Rattus norvegicus: one gene and its partner. The protein of the gene in region 1 binds, or shares a complex with, the protein of each later gene. Links are inferred from orthologs where the notes say so. Each region holds a gene or a part of one and is shown on either strand. Other genes may lie near its edges.

The links. Proteins that work in one complex are often made in the same cells at the same time.
Region 2: Srrm2 (region 1) and Rbm48 share a complex: the UniProt entries of both Homo sapiens proteins name them as parts of the minor spliceosome. The link is inferred for Rattus norvegicus from reciprocal best matches to the Homo sapiens genes SRRM2 and RBM48.

Annotation. Positions count from the first base shown.
Region 1 is NC_086028.1:13,313,968-13,325,434, reverse strand, and holds the start of Srrm2 (serine/arginine repetitive matrix protein 2), read right to left. Parts: upstream 5,377-11,467; 5' UTR 5,075-5,376; exon of another isoform or gene 5,062-5,074; intron 3,454-5,061; 5' UTR 3,332-3,453; intron 1-3,331. UniProt on the Homo sapiens protein: Required for pre-mRNA splicing as component of the spliceosome. As a component of the minor spliceosome, involved in the splicing of U12-type introns in pre-mRNAs.
Region 2 is NC_086022.1:31,512,067-31,522,760, forward strand, and holds the start of Rbm48 (RNA-binding protein 48), read left to right. Parts: upstream 1-1,860; coding exon 1,861-1,971; intron 1,972-2,455; coding exon 2,456-2,646; intron 2,647-4,651; coding exon 4,652-4,797; intron 4,798-5,566; coding exon 5,567-6,147; intron 6,148-10,694. Other genes in the region: peroxisomal ATPase PEX1, read right to left, coding at 1,418-1,546. UniProt on the Homo sapiens protein: As a component of the minor spliceosome, involved in the splicing of U12-type introns in pre-mRNAs.

The DNA.
Region 1 (11,467 bases):
AATGATGGAGGACCCTCATCAGAATCAGCACACTGCTGCCTGGAGGCTCAGCTTCCAAGAAAAGAACAGAGGATGTGGGAAGGCATTAATCTATTTAAATATCTGTGTGTAGTTTGGCATGCTAGTACACACCTCTATTCCTATGGAGCAAATTGTAAATACTGTATATACAGGGTATGTCCTCAGCCTTAAGATTAAAAAAAAACCAAAAAACAAAAGCAAGTATGGAACTCTTGCATAAGCATTTCCTCTTGCCCATGCCAGAATTGAGTACAATCCTGAAGCCACTTTTTATATTTCTAGCAAAGTAGAAGTGTATCCGGAAGATGGAAACTAGGTTTCTTTTTTTAAAAGATTGGTTTATTATGTATACGGCTTTCTGCCTGCATGTATATCTGCAGGCCAGAAGAGGGCACCAGATGGGGTTGGGGATTTAGCTTAGTCAAGGGCAAGGTCCTGGGTTCGGTCCTTGGCTGCGGGGGTAGGGGGGTGGGGGGGTAGGGGTGGGGGGGGGACAGCAGATCTCATTATAGATGGTTATGAGTCACAATGTGTTTGCTGGGAATTGAACTCCAGACCCCTGAAAGAGTAGCCAGGGCTCTTATCCTCTGAGCCATCTCTCCAGCGTCTTATATTTGGGGAAGGGAGTCACAAATGCACAGGTAGAGGGATGGAGCAAGCCTGGCAATGTTAGTTAGAACTGGAGGTGTCACTGTGACCTCATGATCTAAGTATACTTAGCATCCTCCATGTCTGCCTCTCAGTACTGATGAATAATTATTCAGATGTGCCTTCTAAACACATTTCACATTGGGCACTTCACATAAACAAACAAGAAAAAGAAACCCAAAAAACAAAATCACATCACAGAGGTCTATTAGTTCCTATTCCTTAGGGCTATGAAACACTGCAGGCAACCTTACAATTGTTCAGATCCCAGCTTTAGAGGCTGAAGCTGCAGGTGGCCTTGTGCGGATTCTGATGAGGCCCCCAGTCATTGGCTGCATCGCGTCATGGTAGGCAGTATACTAAGAGCATGTGTGAGAGAGAAATGACTCCCAAGTGTTTCCAAGCAACGACGCAGGGCTGGAAGCCGAGGCTCAGTGGTAGAACTCATCTAATATGCATGGATTTGGTCTACAGCACGGAGGAAAAAAAAAAAACGAATGAACGGAAGCCAACCCTGGAATGACCATCTTGAAGGAGGCGGGTAAGCAAGCATAAGCATTTATGAGTGATACAAGGTTCCTTTCAGTTTCCACTATCAGAATATGAATGGGCTGCTTGTCCACAGCCTCTCCAACAGAGGGAGTTGTAATACTTGTGAATTTTTGTTAGTACGCTAAATAAGTGGTATGTTAGCAAGACTTATTTATTTTATGTATATGAGTACACTGTAGCTGTCCTCAGACGCACCAGAAGAGGGCATCAGATCCCATTACAGATGATTGTGAGCCACCATGTGGTTGCTGGGAATTGAACTCAGGACCTCTGGGAGAGCAGTCAGTGCTCTTAACCGCTGAGCCATCTCTCCAGCCCGTTTTTCATTTCTTAAATCTAAGAGGAGAACTGTTGTCTCACATGATGATCTTTATATTTTGGTGTTTTTATAGTAGCCATTCCAGTAGGTGCAAATGATATAATCTGCACTCGCCCCCTCATCGCAGGCTAACATCAGGGCCATGTGTACACTGGGCACTTGAGCACTCTTCTGAGCCACCTGCCCAGCCAATGATCTACTATAATGTTTTGATATAAGATGTACTTGTATTATGAGTGTTTTGCCTACATGTATGTCTGTTTACCACAAATGTGAGGCCAGAAGAAGGCCCTGGATCCTAACTCTGAGAACCAAATGTAGGTGATGGAGGAAACCTTGAAGAGCATCGTAAGCTGCTGAGCCATCTCCATATTGCCATAGTCGGTAGCCAACTACCACGATAGCTTTGACTAGCCGTCTCCAAGAACTAACGAAATCAGACGTGCTGGAGATTTTCTTACCTTTGAAGGAAATCTATTCAAGTCCTTTGTCCTCACTTGTGAGAAGAATGCCAGAGACTGAGCCCAGGCCTTGTGTATTCCTGTGCTCTACTACTGACCTACATCCCAGGACCTCTCAGCTATTTTCCTCTTGTCTTTCTACAAAGAAAAAGGAGGGACTGGTGGGATCCTGCTTTGTTTCTAAGCCTGAACATCTGAGTTTGATCCTTAGGACCCCATGGTGGATGGAGAGAGCCAACTCCCAGATTGTCCTCTGACCTCCATATACCCATTGTAACACACACACACACACACACACACACCACACCACACCACACCATGCAAAACACAATAATGACAATAAAATGTTTTAAACGTAAAACATAACCTTCTCCCCAAATACGCTCCTGTCAGTTCTGTTTGGCTGGGTTATAACATTACAGACCAGAAGACTGGCAGCTATCCCTCATCCTGTCTCTCTGTGGTTCTCAGCTGCCACCACCCACCCTGGCCCCGAGTCACTGCTCTCCTTTCAGCCTCCCCACAGCCTCCCAAATGTGCTTTCAGTTTTCATTTGAAAAGTTGCGTCATGCAGTAAAGCAGTTTGAGCAGTCTTGCTCAAAACGTATGTCCACCCAGACATGTAGTCTGGCCCCAGATAACAGGTTTTGCAGATATAATTAAGAAAAAAAAATATATATGTATATAAACGTATATAATTAAGGGGTCTTAAGAAGACGTCATGAATTTAGGTCAGACCTTAAATCCGTGACTAATGCCTTTACTAAAAGGAAAAGGGGAGGCTGGGGAAACAGCTCAGCCAGTAAAGTGCTTGCTGTGCAAGAAGGAAGACCAAATTCAAGCTTCAAAATCCAGGTAAAAACAAAAGCCAGACATGATGGTGCCCGCTTGTAGCTTCAACAGTTGGAAGGTCAAGACTGTGGGCCCCTAGGACTTAACAACCAGCCAGCCAAGCCTAATCAGCAAGCTTCAGATCCCACTGGGAGACCTGTCTCAGAAGACAAGGAGGGCAGGCAATATGGCTCAGTGGGTTAGACACCTGCTAACCAACATGGTGGCCTGAGTTCTGTTTCAGGGACCCTCATAGGAAGGGAAGGACTGAGTCCCACAAACTGTCCTCTGACCTCCACATGCTTATCCACACAAAATAAATACACATAAATTTAAAACACACATACATACAAAGCGGGTGGCACCGAAGGAATGATACCCAAGGTTGACCTCCGGCGTCTCCCCAGGTGCTCACGTGTGTGCACGCGCACACACATACCAGGTCTCAGTAATGCCTGAGAACAAAACAAGAGACGGAGGAAGACATAGTAGCACGTACCTGTCTACAGTCTGCCTGGTGGCTTCTGCCCTCCCTTCCGTTCGCTTGATTACAGACCCAAGTCACACTACAGCGTGTTGGAGGGACAATGGTCAGACACAGGAAGTGCTTCAGGAACTTTCCTGGGGAGACGAAAACAAAGTTAACTTGCCCGGAACAGGCACCAATGACAGGCTAAAGTACCAAAATCGGGTGATTTGAACCAGTTAGTTTGTTGAGCTTATCTACAGAGTATGAAAGAGAGGCTACTTATGGGAGTATGGGTGACCCTGAAACAGCTTCACTACACAAATATCTCACCCCAACCTTGATGATGACTTTCCAGCAGCTTAGATGAGGTTCCCCACGTCAGTTAACCTTCCACCTATACACATGCTACCTCCTGAGACACGGAGACCACACGCAGCTGGGGCAGAGTAATAAAACAGCTGGCACATCCCTGGTGATGTTAGTGCAATCCCTTAATCCCAGCTATCGAGACACAGAGGCAGGCAGATCTCTGTGAGTTGGAGGCCAGCCTGGTCTACAGAGCAAGTTCCAGTACAGTCAGGGGTACATAGAGAAACCCAGTCTCAAACAGTAACAACAGGGCTGGAGAGATGGCTCAGTGGTTAAGAGCACTGACTGCTCTTCCAGAGGTCCTGAGTTCAAATCCCAGCAACCACATGGTGGCTCACAACCATCTGTAATGGGATCCAATGGCCTCTTCTAGTGTGTCTAAAGACAGCTACAGTGTATTCATATAAATAAAAAATAATAATTTTTTTTTAAAAAAAGTAACAACAACAAAATCAACAGGGTGGTAGTGGTGCACACCTTTAATCCCTGCACTCGGGAGGCAGAGGCAGGCAGATCTTCGAGGCCAGCCTGGTCTGCAGAGTGAGTTCTAGAACAGCCGGGGGGGGGGGGGGGGGGGGCGCAGAGTGAAACCCTGTCTTCAAAAGGCTGACACACGCACACAATAACACAATAATCAAAAACAGCTGACAGGAAGGAAAGGCTCAGATCTTACCTTGGGGGTTTCTGGGGAACTGTCATAGCCCCTCTGATCAAGATGACAACAGTGCCAGGCAGTGGTGGCGCAGGCCTTTAGTCCCAGCACTTGGGAGGCAGAGGCAGGTGGATCTCTATGAGTTTAAGGTCAGCCTGGTCTGCACAGTTCTAAGCCAGTGAATGTTACATTATGAGACCCAGTCTCAAAAACCACACGTCTAGGGGCGGGAGGGAGGCATGCACACACTGTTCTTTCAGAGGACCAGAATTTGGTTCCCAGTAACAACTTCCTGTAATATTAGCCCAGGAGGGATCCAGCTCCTCTGGCCTCTGTGGGCATCTGCACATGCGCGCACACACATACACACACACACACACACACACACACACACACACACACACACACACATATACATATCGACAAAAACACGACAAAGGCCATTGTGCTCAGAGAACAGTGTTCTGCACTGCAGGAACTGATAACCTCTGGCTTTGTTCTTGCTCCTCCTAGAGGATGTCACCAGATTAGTGCAGGTCGGGCTGGGCCCTCGACTGGGAGCAGGCTGTTTTTCAGAGCACTGGTCTATGGGTCCTGTGCATCCTGAGGGGTGGGGTGGAGGGCAGGGATTGGGGGGCGGTCTCAGCACTACAAGTGAAGGACACACAGTGCCACTCTGACACTCTCTTGAGCCCTGGTGACTAACTCTGTCATCCCTTTCTGCCCACCAGAAATAAGCCCATTCCAAGTACCTCGTTTTGTCCTGCTCTTCCTCAGTGGACTCACACTGGTGGCATTGCAACAACAGGATGTGAAAATGCCGGATTCCTGTTCCAGGTAGCTTCCAGGTAGCTGACTGACAGAACGACAACCCAGAGGTACTTTGCACTCCCGGGATTAGTAAAGGGAGACGCTGCCTCCCAGGGTCTATCTCCAGGATATCCAAGCCTCCTCTTCTCGAAAATCCTCCAGGCCTAATGGATTCCAGCTGAGAACAGTGTGGCGAGCCACCGCTGCTGCCGCTGCTCCTCCTCCTCCTCCTCCAACGCTTAGCGGAAGCCCAGGACCCCCGCAGCCGCCTCCTTGTCGCCCTAAGGAGGACTCAGGGACTGGGGAACCGGCTGGAGCAGGGTTGCCCTAGACTCTCAAACAGCGGACCCGGGCGCTCAGAACAAAGGCACAACTGCTCCAGCTGCCATGAGAGCCGGAGCATGCGGGCTCCGGAGTCCCTCACAGTCGCTTGGTTTTTTTGTTTTTTGTTTTATTTTTTTGAAACTGTTCAGGCTACCCTGGTGCTTGCTAGAAATCCAGACTGGCCTCACGCTCCTCCAGTCTTTGCCTCCCAAGTGCTAGGATTACAGGAGTGAGCCACCATCCTAGAGTGACACTGTGACAGGCCATGAGGCAGAGGAGGAAATAGAAGTAAAAATGGGGTGGGGTTGGAGGTGGGATAAAATACTGATGCCTTGATTTTTCCACACGAACATGTCGTTAATATTACTTCTTTATTACTTTTACTTTTGGGATTTCGTTTTTAGACAGGGTCTCATGAAGCTAAGGGTGTTAATACATTACCACTGTGATGTGTTGGGTTTTTTTTTTTTTTTTTTTTTTTTTTTGGTTGATTTTGGTTTTGGACACAGAATTTCAGGCAGCCCAGGCTGGCCTCCAACTTGCTAAGTAAGTGGAAGCTGGCTTTACCATCCTCTTAACCTGCTAAACGCTGGGATTACAGGAGAAACAAAGAGCTGAGGTGGCTACTAATCTATCAAAGCTAATAGGGTCGTCAAGCCCCTCAGCAAAACTAGCACCTGTTAGAGTCCTGGCTTCTCTGAGCATTCCTCGCCACTCTGTATCCTAAAGCCTCCAGCCCCTGAGATCCCCTTATGTTCCCCATCTTCTCATTCCTATATAGCCCAGCCCAGGAACTCTCTTGGTTTCCATTCTTTTGGCTTCTTGGTTCTTCTCCCTCTCCTGGTCTCTGTCCCTCTGTCTCTCCCCTCATGGCCAGATTCAGTCTGGATCTTTCCAGATGCCTCTAGCCATTCTCCCCCTCATATCTACAATAAAAACATTCTCCTCAACCATATCTAGGAGGAATCTGATACTTATTTTCATTCACACCATCATGTCTAGCCTTTTCTTTTAACCTTTTATTTTGACATAGTGTATCACTAGATGTCTTCTGTTTGACCATGAACTTGTAATTCTCTTGTCCCAGCCTCCTGAATGACTGGGAATACAGTCTTGTGCTATTCAATTCAAACAAAAATGTGAGTTTTTAATTCACTGCTTTTATTTATTTCTTTTACACTTATTTACCTCTCTTTGTACAAGTTAACATTAAAAAAAAAACACAAATAGGCATAGAGAGATGGCTCAGTGGTTAAAAGCACTGACTGCTCTTCCAGAAGTACTGAGTTCAATTCCCAGCAACCACATGGTGGCTCACAACCATCTGTAATGAGATCTGATGCCCTCTTCTGGTGTGTCTGAAGACAGCTACAGTGTACTTACATATAATAAATAAATAAATCTTTTTTTTAACATTTATTTATGTATACATCATACAGCTTTCTGCCTGCATGTATTCCTGCAGGCCAGAAGAGGGCACCAGATCTGATTATAGATGGTTATGAGCCACCATGTGGTTGCTGGGAATTGAACTTAGGACTGGAAGAGCAGACAGTGCTCTTAACCACTGAGCCATCTCTCCAGCCCCTAAATAAATAAATCTTAAAAAAACCCACACACACAAATAAATTAGGGTTGAAGACCATGGAGTGTGTGTGTGTGTGTGTATTCCTGAATATCGAGGCCTGGGTGTGATGTGTACAGAATAGAGGACACATTTTGAGAACTAGGGTCACTCTTCCCACCACATGGCCTACAGAGTGAGTTCCAGAATAGCTAGGCCACAGAGTGAAACCCTGTCTCTAAAAAGAAAAAAACAAAACAAACAAAAAACCCAACCAACTAACCAAACAAACAAAAACACTAAAGCCAGTAGTGGTTGTAATCTCATGTTGTAAGCTCAGGAAGCTAAGCTAGGAGCTTGGAAAGTTCCAGGCCATGGTGGATAACCTAGAGAGTTGCAGGCCAATAGGTGGTGTTTAACAGGTGGTCGAAAGTGTGTACTCTCAGGACGTGAAAGGTACGCTCAGTACGTGAAACAATAGAATCGGGAGTTCAAGATCAGCCTCTGGTACAAGATTTTCAGACCAGCCTGGGCAACATGAGACCCTATCTCTAAAGAACTAAAAGCAACATTTTTAAATAGAGATCTTGCCTACAACACATAAATCTTGTGTTAAGCTCGCTCCCCCCCCCCATGGTGTTTGTGATGGTTTGAATGAGAATAGAATTCATATATTTGAATGCCTGTTTACCAGGGGGTGGAACTATTTGAAATGATTAGAAGGATAAGGAGTTATAAGCTTATCAAAGGAAGTGTGTTACTGGGAGTGGGCTTTGAGGTTTCAAAAGCCCATACGGGGCCCAATCTCTGTCTCTGTCTCTGTCTCTCTCTCTCTCTCTCTCTGTCTATGGATCAGTCTGTAGCTCTCATCTCTACTTACTCTAACACCAGTCGTGCGGCCATGCTCCCTGCCATGATGCTAATGGGCTAACCCTCTGAAACTGTAGACCAGCCCCCAGTTACAGGCTTCCTATGAGAGTTGTCTCAGCTGTGTGTATGTTCACAGCGGTAGAATGGTGAGTAAGCCAGCGCCGAACAATGGTAACCATACACCTGGGAGGGTAGAGACCCTATCTCAAGAAGACAAACTAAAGGTATATTAGTGATGTGTAGGCTTTTCTTGGTTTCGAGGAACTGCTGTGTTCAGGAGGGATCAGGGAGGGATGTTACCATGGCATTCAGTCCAGGCGGGCTCAGTTGACCCATGGCTTCAATTGATCTCCATAGCAAATCCCCACCTCCCCTGAGCCCAGCCTGAAGGGTATTGAAACTTTCTATGGCTTTAGCTCCTGGGCAAGGTTAGAATCCTCTTGTACTGGACACTGATGACATATGGTAATGTTTTGTCCAGAAGACTCCACACTCCCCTGACTGTCAGGGTTGGGAGGGTTTTTCCTTGTTGTGTCTCCAGTCAGAACAGAAGGCCCCAAATCCTTTCCTGTGTGTGTGTCGGTAAGAACTCAGGGGTGTATAACCCTAGCAACTTGGGAGTTGTAACCGGAAGATCACAAGTCCAAGGCCAGTATAGGTGGATCAGAGAGATCCTATTAGAACAACAAAGAAAAAAATGTAAAGATAACAAAACCAGTAGTAGAATGCTTGCCCCGCCCTTGGAGTCCTGATTCATCCAGCTGCCTGTGTTGCTCTAAGCAGCTGGGAGCCCAAGGCAGGCATAGCCAGAGAGAGAAATAGCCAAGAGCAATATGGTGCTGCACAGTGTGCCTTGCTGTGGACACTGAAGTGGATATAATTAAGTTCTGGCCTCTGAGGGGGAATCTTCTGGAGTGAACAGTGTTGTTGGTAATAATTACTCTCAATTGGGGATTTCTACCCTGCCTTGTGTCATTTAATTCCCAGATAAAAGACACACAACCTTTATGTTTATAATAAGCCTTTACAGCACTAGGGCTGGGAAGACATCAACCCCCCATGCTATTTTGTCTACTTACCTGCCAATAACCTGAGATATGACTGCCAAGTTCTACCTGGGCCACTTTTTTTGTTTGTTTGTTTTTTGTTTTTGTTTTGTTAAGATTTATTTATTTTATGTATGTGAGTACACTGTCACTCTCTTCCTACACACCAGAAAAGGACATCAGATTCCATTACAGATGGTTGTGAGCCACCATGTGGTTGCTGGGAATTGAACTCAGGACCTCTGAGTAAGCAGTCAGTGCTCTTTTTTTTTTTTTTTCTTTTTTCTTTTTCTTTTTTTTTTTCAGAGCTGGGGACCGAACCCAGGGCCTTAGCACTCTACCACTGAGCTAAATCCCCAACCCCGCAGTCAGGGCTGCTGAGCCCTCTCTCCAGCCCCTAGCCCTACTATTTTTAATGAATAAATTTTTAATGTCTCCATTTAAGACTCTATATGACAAATGTTAACGTCATGTGACTAGATCTCTTTGAATTCCTCAATAATAAAGAGTTTGTCAGGTGCGGTGCCGTGGTCCTCTAACACCAGTGTTTAGGAAGCAGAAGCAGGCAGAGCTCTGTGAATTTGAGGCTGGTGTACTTTGAGAGTTCCAGGACAGCTAGGGCTACATAATAGAGAGACCCTATCTCAAAAAAAAAGTAATGGTCTAAAGGGGCCGAGGGAAGATGGCTCTAATATTTCTGTGTATTATACACCTGTAATCTCACAGTTGTGAAGTACACAGGAATGAGGACTAGCTTACCAATCTGAGATTCCACTTGCTTTGGGCTATACACATGCTTTTACTTTTAAACAATTTATTACTTATTTTTATTTTATGTACGTTTGCGTTCTGGCTGCATGTATGTCTGTGTGAGGTGGTCAGATCCCCTGGAACTGGAATTACAGTTGTGAACTGCTGTGTGGTGATGGGAATTGAACCCCGGTCCTTCTGAGCCATCCCTCCAGCCCCTAATGATGCACGTGGCAGTCTGAAACCTTTGCCCATCTGCATTCTGAGTGCACAGGCCCTTCTAAATAATAAAATGTTTCTTCTTATTTAATGACTATCAAACTTGTATGGTTGGTTTGTTTGTTGTCGTTTGAGACACGGTCTCTCTATGTAGTTTAGGCTATCCTGAAATGGTCTCACAGTGATCCATCTATCTGTCTCTGCTTCCCAGGTGCTGGAAAGGCATGCACTGCTACACCTGGCTAAATTTGTACAGTTTCTATTCAACAGTATTACATGCAAACATACATACATACATGTTGTTGTAAAAATATAAAAATAAAAAAGTAGGGCTAGAGAGATGGCTCAGTGGTTAAGAGCACTGACTGCTCTTCCAGAGGTCCTGAGTTCAAATCCCAGCAACCACATGGTGGCTCACAACCATCTGTAAAGAGATCTGATGCCCTCTTCTGGTGTGTCTGAAGACAGCTACAGTGTACTTATATATAATAAATAAATAAATCTTTAAAAAAAAAAAGTAATGGTGGTCTTTTACCCCGCTAGGTCTACACCTCGGCGTCCCAAGATATCTGCTAGACATCTGGGCAGAAACACAGCCCAGCTGCACACTTTCCTACACTCAAACCCTCACATAAAAGAACACACAACACAATAATCTTAGATCCAATTGATAAGATTTAATTGCCCACTTAAACATACAAAGCCCGGTACCATCCATCCCTAGGAACATTAATAACAACCTGTAAATACACAGAGCAGAATCTTAACATCACCTGCCATGACTTCTCACCCTCTCTCTCTCCTCTGTCCTGTCTCTTCTCTAGTCTCCTCCTCTTCCTTCAAACTTCTCTCCCACCCATCCTTCCTTCTCCTCCAATGACAGGCCTCCTTCTATCCTGTACCTGCCCTTCACCTGTACTTTACAAATTCATTAGGGAGGCTCTGGTGAAGTCACCTGATTCCTGACTAGGCAGCTGTCCTTGGGGCAGTGGAATTAGCATCAAAATACAGTAACGTCAGGGCAAACCACAACACATACATACATACATACATACATACATACATACATACATCTGGTAGGAGGAATGATCCAGCCTGTGGTGATTTGAATATGCACAGATCATAGGAGATGCATCCTTGTTGGAATAGGTGTGGCCTTGCTGGAGGGGAAGTGTGAAGCCTTATGCCCGAGCTCTACCCAGTGTGGAACATGCAGTGCTCTCCTGGCTGCAGATCTTCTGGATCAAGATGCAGAAATCTCAGCTCTTCTCCACGGGCGTTGCTGCCTGCATGCTGCCATGGTCATGCTTCCTGCCGTGATGATGATGATGGACTGAACCTCTGACCTGTAAGCCAACCCCAATTAAATGTTGTCCCTTGGTCATGGTGTCTCTTCACAGCAATAAAACCCTAACTAAGACACAGCCTGAACTTGTTTTAGGAGCATGTGTGTATTGGTTAATTTTCTATTGCTGTGATAAAACACCAGGACCAAGATAGCTTGTAGAAGAAAGTTGGTCTGGGTTTAAATTTCCAGAAGATTCCTGCTGCAGGAAATCATG
Region 2 (10,694 bases), on another chromosome or scaffold:
TCATGATGAGCAATTATATAAATTATGGACAGTTTATAGCTATCATACCATTAACTGCTAAAAATGATGATCTCTAAACAAAATAAAGGTCATAGTAATACTACACAAAAACAGGACATAAAACCATATGTTTTTATAGCTCCACATTTCTGAAAACAATAAGGATTAGATGTAAGTAGGCAAGTATTAGTTATTTCTAGGCATAGGAATTATGGGTAACTTTTATCTTCTTTTAAATAATTTTTGTTCTGCTGACAGCAATTTATTCCAAGAATAACATTTAAACTTCAAAGATACCTTTGAACCAGTTCTCAAGAATACTTAGTATCTCAAAAAAAAAAAAAAAAAAAAAAGACCAAGACTACGGAATTCCTAAACATTGATGAATCTAAGGGAGCAACATATTAGGCTCAAATTCTTAGTTACTATAAGGAAGCATTTTTCTAAACTCATGGAGTGGTGAATTTATTCCTATAAACTCATTAATTTGGGATTTGAAAGTACATTGAAAATCTCCATCAGAAATGACAGGGAACAGTGAACTAAGCTGGAATTTGGTGACAGTGACTGATTCCTTTTAGCCAACAGAAAGCGAACTAGACAGTTAAAGAATATTTAATATTTGGTGAAGACAAACTAATTAACAATAGGAATAATTCCGATGAAATTGGTGTGTTTTGATAGGCGGACTGTAAAAGCAAGATAAATCAAAGAGGAAATAAAGGTGGAATACAAGTCATTTCAAACTCTTGGATATTTCTTTTATGAGCCAGTATTCCGCTACCAAGCACCTAGGACTTTAGATTTCAAATAGTCTAACCCCATGAATACACTCAAACTAGAGAGTCTGTGCTCACTCTTAATAAAACATGGAGGCTGTCTCTCCACCGATGGAGTAATCCTGGCTTCGCAGGTGAAAGTACGAGGTGTGAATAATTCCATTGCCTTGTCACCCCCCCACCCCTTGTGGTGTCCGAAGTCCTCCTAAGCAGGGAGAGCTGTCACTTTATTAACCTTTGGCACAGGTTGGAAACCTTGGTAATCTACCAATCAAGTCTGCCACTCAATGCTTCTATGGCTGCACTGGCAACTTGTTGGCAGGATAACGCTTTAGCAAAACCAGTAAGAGCTCTCTAGAGCTTTCCATCCTAGAGTGAGGACCGCTTCTGAATGCTGAGGCAGAACCCTAGTATGTTCAGTCTGGTTTAACCGAGTTAAAAGGGTGCCCAGTAGGGTCTGGGGATGCACTAGTCGGGGTGTAGGTGCACACACTGCCTCCCCACGCCATGCCCGCAGAGGGCCCTCGCTCACGCCTCAGTGCGGGTTCGGTGGCAAACACTGTCCGGACCGGGAAAGGTGTCAGCGAACACTAGTCCCACAAGACATCGATGGTGTCCGCGTCCGGTCATCGCGTTACCTGCAGCAGGTGAAGCTGGGCCACGAGGTGCCGTGGCAGATGGAGGAAGCAGTCCCGAGCATTCGTGAAGGCCACCGTCACGACCGCCCCACCAGACCCCGCACCGGCTAAGCGATCACTGCTCCACATTGTCCCAAGGTTCAACTCTCGCCGGAGAGCCGAGTCCGCCGGCTTCCCGTCAGGCCAGGGCGTCGGAGCCCGAGAACATCGATCGGGGCCGCCCCCCTCTTCACTCGCCTGACCGCTGTCACTCTCGGATCGCTCCTCCGAGGCTCTAGGGGGCGGCACATCGCTCGTCGAAGTCTCGCTCTCCGGAAACAATCGTCGATGGGGTCGATCCTCCAGCCAATCCTAACACGCTTGGCCCATACTGCTCTCTCATTGGACACAAAGGAGCACCGCTGGCGGATGTTGTTCTGGCGCGGGGGCTTGAAGCCGGCAAGATGGCCTCCAGTGACGGGAAACCCGGTGGCATATTCGACCACCACGTCCAGACAGCTGTGTGTGACTCGCGGGCCAAATACAGGGAGGGCCGACGCCCTCGCGCGGTCAAGGTAGAGTGACTTGGGTTCCTTCTCTCTCCTCGGCAGGAGCATTAACTTCCTGTCAGCACTAGCTCTCCATGGCCTGCCTCCATAAAGGCACGGCAGGGATGCTGTCAAGTCCATCTCTCAGTGGAGGGGGCACGAGGAACAAAGTTTATCGCTGTTGTCGGTTTACTGCTTACTCCACGATTTTTAGCTTTGCATCCTATAATACAAGGACAAGGTCTCACAGGACAAGCCCTGTTAAGTGACTGTTTACATTAGCTTCTCTGGGGTCAACTTTGGGAAAAGACGTCTGTTTAGTCAGATACCCTTATGTGGAGTGTGTTATTCTTTAGGCAGAAAGAGTGACAGTTTTGTGTGTATGTTTTGCAGACCATATTGAGCAGAGTATTTCTTGTTTTCAAAGCTCCATTTAAAAGAGGGATGGGAAGACAGATTTGCCATAGGCTTGTTTGAAGAGTACGTTTAACGGGCTCTCCCCCGACTTTAGGTATATACCATCAATTTGGAGTCTCAGTACTTACTAATACAAGGAGTTCCTGCAGTGGGAGCCATGAAGGAATTAGTTGAGAGATTTGCTCTCTATGGTGCGATTGAACAGTATAATGCTCTAGATGAATACCCAGCAGAAGATTTTACAGAAGTTTATCTCATTAAATTTGTGAAATTACAAAGTGCAAGGTATGTACAAGTTAAGCAGAACTCGCGTCTTCTATTCCTGTTGCCGTCATTTCGGCCTCAGGATTTCCCAAACAGACCCAAATCACATGAGCACTTCTCACTCTCAGTCTTCCTGATTTGGGGGTTGGGGAGCAGGGTTTATTTGAATAGCTTTAGCTGTGCTGGAATTAGTTCGATAGACCAGGCTGGCCTTGAACTCAAAGAACCCTTTGTCTCTGCCTCCCGAGTGTTGGGTCCAAAGGTGTGCAACACCCCATCTCGCCTTCTGGTTTAGTTTTTACCAGGCCTCACATATGCAGTCAGTCACTCTAACAGTGAATGATATCCCAGCTCTTCCTTCTGATGTTCGAAAGGCTGACTTTACAACACTTTTCCCATCCTGTGCTTGATGGTTTCTGAACCTGGAGTGTGGTAGATTTGGGAGATGAGGAATTACATTTGAAGCACATTTCCAGTCCTATGGCTTCCTGACTTTGGAGAATTTTATTCCTGCCAAGCACATTTTTTTTTCTTTTCCTAAAATCCACAGGGCAAAAAGGTCTACTTCTTGAGGTTCACTGAGGAAGGATGAAATGAAACAATTTATGTAAAAGGATTAGACTGGTACCTCCTATTAAGAGTAAATATTAGAGCCAGGCAGTGGTGGCACAGGCCTTTAATCCTAGCACCTGGGAGGCAGAGGCAGGTAGATTGAGGTCGAGGCCAGCCTTGTCTACAGAGCTAATTGCAGGACAGCCAGAGCTACCCAGAGAAACTGTGTCTCCAAAAAAACAAACAAACAAACAAAAAAAACCAAAAAACAAAAACAAAAAGTAAATATTAGTAATGACAGTTCTTATTAGTATGGTTCTATGTTAATCAACCTTGTATTCCAATAAGACTGAAGTCAACAATGCTTTATTTTATGTTAACCCTTTGGGTGGGGGAGTGTGTGACTGTAGGTGGGTGCACGCCTGCGTGTGTAAAACTTGCTATGTAGGCCAGCTGACTAGAACTCAACTTCCTCCTGAATCTGCCTCCCCATCCCCACCAGGTTTAAAGACATGTACCACTACAGTGTACTCTACCCTATGTTTTGAGACGAGACCCTTATTGAAACTAGAACTCATGGCTAGATTGGTTGGCCATCAGGCTCCAGTGGTCTTACCTTCTCTATCTCGCCAGCACAGGGATTATAGGCACAGTACGGTGCCTAGTTTTTATGTGCACGCTAGGGATCTGAGCCTAGCTACTCAAGCTTAAACAAGTACTTTTTCAACTGAGCAGTCTCCCTAGCTCATGTTAGCCATTTTTTCTTTTTAATCATTAACATGATCTAAACCATATCCTTCTCTGGCTTTTGCCATTTATAAATGTTTTGGTGGAAAAGGGCTTCAAATCCTCTGGCACTGGAGTTACAGGTGGTTGTAAGCTATCCAAAATGGGTCTGGGATTTGAATCTACTCTTCCCAAAATCAGCAAGTGCTCTTATCACCCACCTAATTATCCCTCCAGCCCCTGTGTTTCTTTTGTTCGCTACTCCTAGTCCACCACAAAATCACTTGACTTCAAAAGGCCATGTGCCTTTTCTTACCAAGTGGGCAACTCTTCGTGGTATAGAGAGCAGATTCTCTAGCGCCTTGTATCTCTACAGACCCTGATACAGTTGGCTTTGGAGTCAGCCATCTGAGTTGAATCCTAGTTTTATAGATGAATGTATGTGACCCAGAATTTCCCGGTGCCTTGGTTTTACCATGAGATGGTTATGAGATGTCAATTTAAGTGGCACACTTGTGGCTTTGCATGGAGTAATCGCTCAATAAACATTAATCATTATCTGTAGATACAGAAGTACTTAATTACTTACAGTGCTTGGTTCAGCATAGGTGTTCAGCATTTCTTTTTTAAACATTATTATTTCTCTTATTTTTATGTGTATGTGGCGTGGCTATTTGTTAATTGTTTTTGAACCATGTAACTTATGCATTTCTTTAGCATTCTCTTTAAGTTATGCATTTCTTTTTAGGATAGCTAAGAAAAAGATGGATGAACAGAGTTTCTTTGGAGGGTTACTTCATGTGTGCTATGCTCCAGAATTTGAGACAGTTGAAGAAACTAGAAAAAAATTAGAAGAAAGAAAGGCTTATATTTCAAGAGTTACTAAAAACCAAGGTATGGAAATATGGAAAGTCTGTGTTAACAACTCCTGTGTGTCAGGCACTGCTAGGTATGTGTGTCATTGTGGAATTCCTACTCAGTCACGTTCTTCGGTGACTTGAACTGATGGGGTCTGTGCCCCACTGTGGAGTCTGGGCCGGGAAGGGAGCAATGTTGATTCATGGAGATTGCCTCTGGCATGGGAGAGTTAAATAGTCGTAAATGGTATTCAGTAGTAAATAGGGTAAAAGGATGGCAAGGTAAGCCAGGCTACGTTTAAACTTAGGCAGATAAATTGCCACCATACATTTAAAGAGCTGTAAGTCCTACAGAGTAACCAGAGTTCCAAGGTTTTAGTGAGAGAGATTAGGAAAGTAGACAAGAAGCAAATTATGAAGCCTTGTGTCCCAGGCTAAGTGGCCCAGGGTTTAAACATGAAGGCAGCAAGAAGCAATTGTGGTTTACAGACTGGTTCTACATGTTGCTCATTATGGGAAACTAACAATTTTTGATCAGCAGCAAGTTTTATTATTTTTCAAGTGGCTCCAGAGAAAAGTAAGACATTCTAGATAGATGAGTAGGTGACACTTGGCAGTATCCCATGGAATCCTTTCAAAAAGCCTTTAAGCCTTATCACTGTATTCTCTGCTCTAGAGGTACCATTTTAGGAGTAGAGCTTCTTAGCATTTTAAGGTTTGTTTTTAGAATTTTAAGATTTTGGATGTTCAAAATGATTAATGATTTGTTTCCCTTTCCCTCAACTTGTAAAACTATGACTGTAAAGACTATTATGTGACCAAGAAGAAACCAGTTCCAGAGCAAAAAGGAACAAAAGATTCTAGACAAGACTTCCATGCACATATGCCTGGATTTTGTACACCTGCTTTAAACACATCTCCCAAGAATCCTTCAGAGAACTCAAGTCCTTGTCTTCCTTACTCTTGTGAATTCCCTTTATGCTATTTTGCCTCCAAAAGCCCATGTTCACCTGGGGAGCACACGGACAAAGCGTCAGACTCCTGCAATAGTGCTAGGAACCGTGGTGAACTGCAGAAGCACCGTGACCACAGTGCCTTTCCCCCAAAACTACAGATGAACACTTACAAAACTTCCGTCCCTTGCTCTAGTGTGCAAGAGGCCATTGCTACTTCACAGGCAGTTGGCAGATTTATGCCTAGGACAACACAGCTGCAGGAGAGGAAAAGACGGCGAGACTGTGATCGTGAACTTGGAACTTTTCTTGAAACAAACATAAGCAGTAACGAGGTTTTGATTGGACCTAAGTTACCAGGTATTCCCACAGTAGATCTGCAGGATGACTCCTTGAATACAACGGCAAACTTAATTCGGAGTAAACTTAAAGAGGTGAGGTTTTTTGTTTTTTTGTTTTTTTTGTTTTTTTTGTTTTTAATTAATTGTGAGACCAACAACTTGATAGGAAATTTGGAGGAACTAAAACTTTGTAATTATTTGGTTTTGTTATCTTCTAAAATATCAAATTTGATCAATATCTATCTTTTTTTTTTTTAAGTCATTTCATTTTATGTATGTGAGTATACTGTCACTCTCTTCAGACACACAGGCAGGAAGAGGGAGGACATCGGATCCCACTCAGATGGTTGAGAGCCACCATGTGGTTGCTGGGAACTGAACTCAAGCCCTCTGGAAGAGCAGTCAGTGCTCTTGACCACTGAGCCATCTCTCCAGCTCCCTTTACAGTCATCCTTGACTTAACAATGAACAGATACATTTTATGTCAGTATAGGTACAAAATGCTAAATGTCCAGTCAATCAGACTATGACAGCTGATTCCGGATACTGTCTTTCCTCCCTTCCCTATTTAAAGCCAGCTCCCTAGGTAGTAATAGCATAAGCAAAAATTGACAGTTATAATTGATTATTTCTCTTAAAATTCAGCTAACTGCAGATTACATCAGAGTCAAATATTCATAAAAGGAATGATTTTGATCAATCACTTAATTTTGTTGGGAACCGAACTCAGGGACTTGTGTGTTGGGCAAATGCTCCATCACTGCCGCATCCCCAGCCCACAAAGTGAGATTATTAAAAACTGAGTCTGTGCCTGCCCACACTCAGTTGTGTGTGTCAAGATCAAAGCTCTGAATAGTTAGAGATCAGATTGTCTAACCCCCGTTCCCGTTATTTACTTTATTTTCCATTCTGTAAACACAAAAGAAAGTTAACAGTTGCAGGAGCTTGTGAAAGCTTTTTGTGGAGTGGGATGGGCCTCAGAATCATTTCTGGAAGGCCGTAAGCATTTTCTTAGTTAACTCCCTGGTCAGCCCAGCTCACACGGGGGCTCACACGGGGGCTCACACGGGGCTCACGTGGCGCCCTCTTGTTCTGCAGTGTGATTGGAGAAGTGATTGGAGAGGAGGTGCTTCTCTGTCTTGTTTTGGTTTAGAGTTTTGTTTCCACCTAGTTGAAATGGTAAAGTGTATGAATGTGGTTTTATTTTTAAGTCTCCCTAAGTTTTTCGATATATGCCAGCACCTTACTTCCTTCTGGTGCACTACACTGAGGCACACAGACTCGTGGCTGTCTCAGTCAGGACCAACTGCATTTAAGTGTAAACTCTACATCCAGAGAAATAACAGGTCAACAAAAACATACTTCATATACTTAACCACAACTTCTAGTATTTTCCCATCTCAAATCAAGGTGGTCTTATCCTGCCTTTGCCCTACTATTAAGTTATTTTTGGTAATGGAATAACAACAATGTATTCAGAAGCCATTGCAGCTGAGATCTCTGTTAGCCAGCCTGGTCCACCTAGTAAGTTCCAGGTCAGGTCAGGCCAGTCAAAGTTACACCTGTTCAAAAATAAACCAAACAACCTGTAAAACCAGGATTTTATCTGTATCCTGCTGTTTCTGGGCTAAGGTGAAATCCCAATGTTGTTTCAATTTGCATTTGTTTGAGGTGAGATAGCATCCTAATCTGTTCTTTTGCATTTCCCTGTTGCTAATGATGTTGGACATTTTCAAACTTGTGTTGGCCATATGTGTTTCTTCCTTTGAGATCTGTTCAGCTTGTTAGCCTGCTTATTGACCGGATCACTTGTCTTTAGTGTGTAACTTTCAGCAGTTCTTTGTAGATGCTCGACATGAAGGCCTCATTTGTGTCATTGGGCACAGACCCCCCATTGTGCAGGCTCTTTCACTCACGTTCCTGACTGTGCTGCTGTGCAGAAGCTCCTCAGTTCCATGTGATCCCATTCGTCAGTTTGCTCATCATAATCTGTTCCTTTACAATCCATTTCAAAGATCTTTGCCTAGTCTCTTGAAGTGTTCTTCCTGTTTTCCTCTGGTAGTCTGAGAGCTTGTTACAGTCCTCAGTACATTTTGAGTGTGTGTGTTTGTGTGTGTGTGGTGTGTGGTGTGTGTGTGTGTGTGTGTGTGTGTGGTGTGTGTGTGTTTGTGTGTGTGTGTGTGTGTGTGTGTGTGTGTGTGTGTGTTCTCCATGTGTTTTTGATACCCTTGTCAAAAAATGTTGTAGCTGTGGCTATGTGGGATTACTTCTGGCCTCTGTTCTATCCCCTCTGCATTCTTGTTTTTATCCAGTACTAGGCTGCTTTTGTGTCTTAGTTAGGGTTTCTAACGCCATAACCAAAAAGCAAGTTGGGGAAAAGGTTTATTTGGCTTATTTTTATTGCTGTTTATTATTGAAGGAAGTCAGGATAGGAAATCAAGCAGAGCAGGAAGCTGGAAGCAGGAGCTGACGCAGAGGCCATGGAGGGGTGCTGCTTATGTGCTCGGCCTACTTTCTTAGACAACCCAGGACCACTGGCCCAGGAATGTACCACCCACGATGGGCTGGACCCTCCACCATCCATCACTAATTAAGAGTGCCCTACAGCCAGATCATAGGGAAACATTGCGTCAGTTATGACAGACTGGGCAGCACATCTATCTTATCACTGTGGCCCTGTCATCTGACCTAAGATACTGTTCCATCTCTAGCTTTGTCCTCACTGCTTGCTATGGCTTTAACTCATTATGAAACATTCCTACTTCCATAAGACGTTTAGGGCAGTTGTTTTGTACCTTTATAGAGGATTTCTTTGATTCTTCGATAAGGATTGTGTTTGTTCTTCAGATCACATCATCTTCACAATATTAATTCTGCCAGGGCCAGAGAGATAGTTCACCAGGTAAAGATACTATCCACAAACCTGACCACCCTGAGTTCAATCCTCACTCTACATGTTTCCTCTGGCCTTCATATACATGCTGTGAGCACATATATATTCCCTTGTGCACAAATAAATGAATAAATGTAGTTTTCAAAGTTAATTCTGCCAGGGGTGGTGGCTCATGTCTTTAATCCTAGCCCTTGGGAGGCAGAGGCAGGCAGAGCTCTGAATTTCAGGCCATTCTGGTTTATAGAGCTAGTTCTAGGCTACACAGAGAAACCCTAGAAACTGTATCTCAAAAAAACTTGAGAGAGAGAGAGAGAGAGAGAGAGAGAGAGAGAGAGAGAGAGAGAGAGAGAGAATATGCCTGGGGCTGGCGAGATGGCTCAGTGTAGAGATGTTTGCTCCCTAGCCTGACCACCTGTGCTCTGTTCTAGCACCTACTACAACAAGTAGTTCTCTCACATCCCTGTGTGCACTGTGCTGTAAGCGAGATGGGGCAGCATAACAAGTATAAATTGTTAAAATCCCACAATAATCCAGAAACATGAGAGGTTATGCCATGTTCTATTTCTTCTTCAGTGTCTTTTCTCGCTAAGAGTTTGACTATAGAGGTCTTTGGCCTTCTGGTTAAATTTATTCCTGGGCTTAAGTGTGTGGTATATATGTGTATATATGTTCATGTATGTGTGCACATGGTCTCCTCTGTTACTTTTTTTTTTTTTTTGAAGCAGGTTCTCTCCTTTAACCTGGAGCTCACTGCTCGGCTGGACTGCCTGCCAGCAGGCTCCTGGGACCCTTTTGTGTCTGTCACCAAGGTTGGAGGTTTAGGTGTGCTCTACTGCACCTGGCCATTTCCCAGATGCTGGAGAGGAGAACTCTACTGCACCTGGCCATGTCCCAGGTGCTGGAGATGAGAGCTCTACTGCACCTGACCGTTTCCCAGGTGCTGGAGGTCAGAGCTCAAGGCTGCATCTGCATGGCAAGCACCTCACCAGCAGAGCCTCCCTCCCGAACTATTTAGTTTTGTTGTTTATTGTGAATGGAATTTTTTTTCTGATTTTTTTTTCTTGGCAAGTTTATTGCTTTTACAGAAAAGCTGCTGTTTTTGTTTGTTGAGTTTATATATTTTTATGACAGTGCTTATCATAGTTTAGCATTTTCTGGTCAGATCTTTAGAGTCTTTTAAGTGTAGAGTTGTGTAGTCTGAATAGAGATCACATGATGTCTCCCTTTCCTCTGTGTTATTTTTCTTGTCTCGTTGCTCTGGCATAGACTCACAGTATCATAGTGAATAAGAGTAGAAGAGGGGACACTTTTGTCTCTATCCCTGATATTAAAGGAAATTCTCTGTCTCCTCTAATTGTCTACTGACATAAGCATATAATTCCTGTTCTTGAGGCTCAGTGTATTATTTATTGATTTACCTATGTGGAATCTTCCTGGAAATCTTGGAATGGAACTGACTTATTCATAGAATGAGTCAGGTAATATTCCTTCCTTACTCTTCTGCTTTTTAACCTAGTTTGAGGAGCGTTGGTATTAGCCTTTCTTTAAGCATTAGTGGGATTCAGCAGTGAATCCATTGGACTTTTACTTTTCCAGGGACTTTTATTGATGCTTCACTCATAGATATATTTAAATTGGTTGTATCAAGTTAATTTTAATAGGTGGTATTGTTACCCCTGTTGCCTAACCTTTTTTGTCAAGTTAAGAAAGCTTTATTTTCTGTCAGACAGGGCTGCCTCCCTAGTGT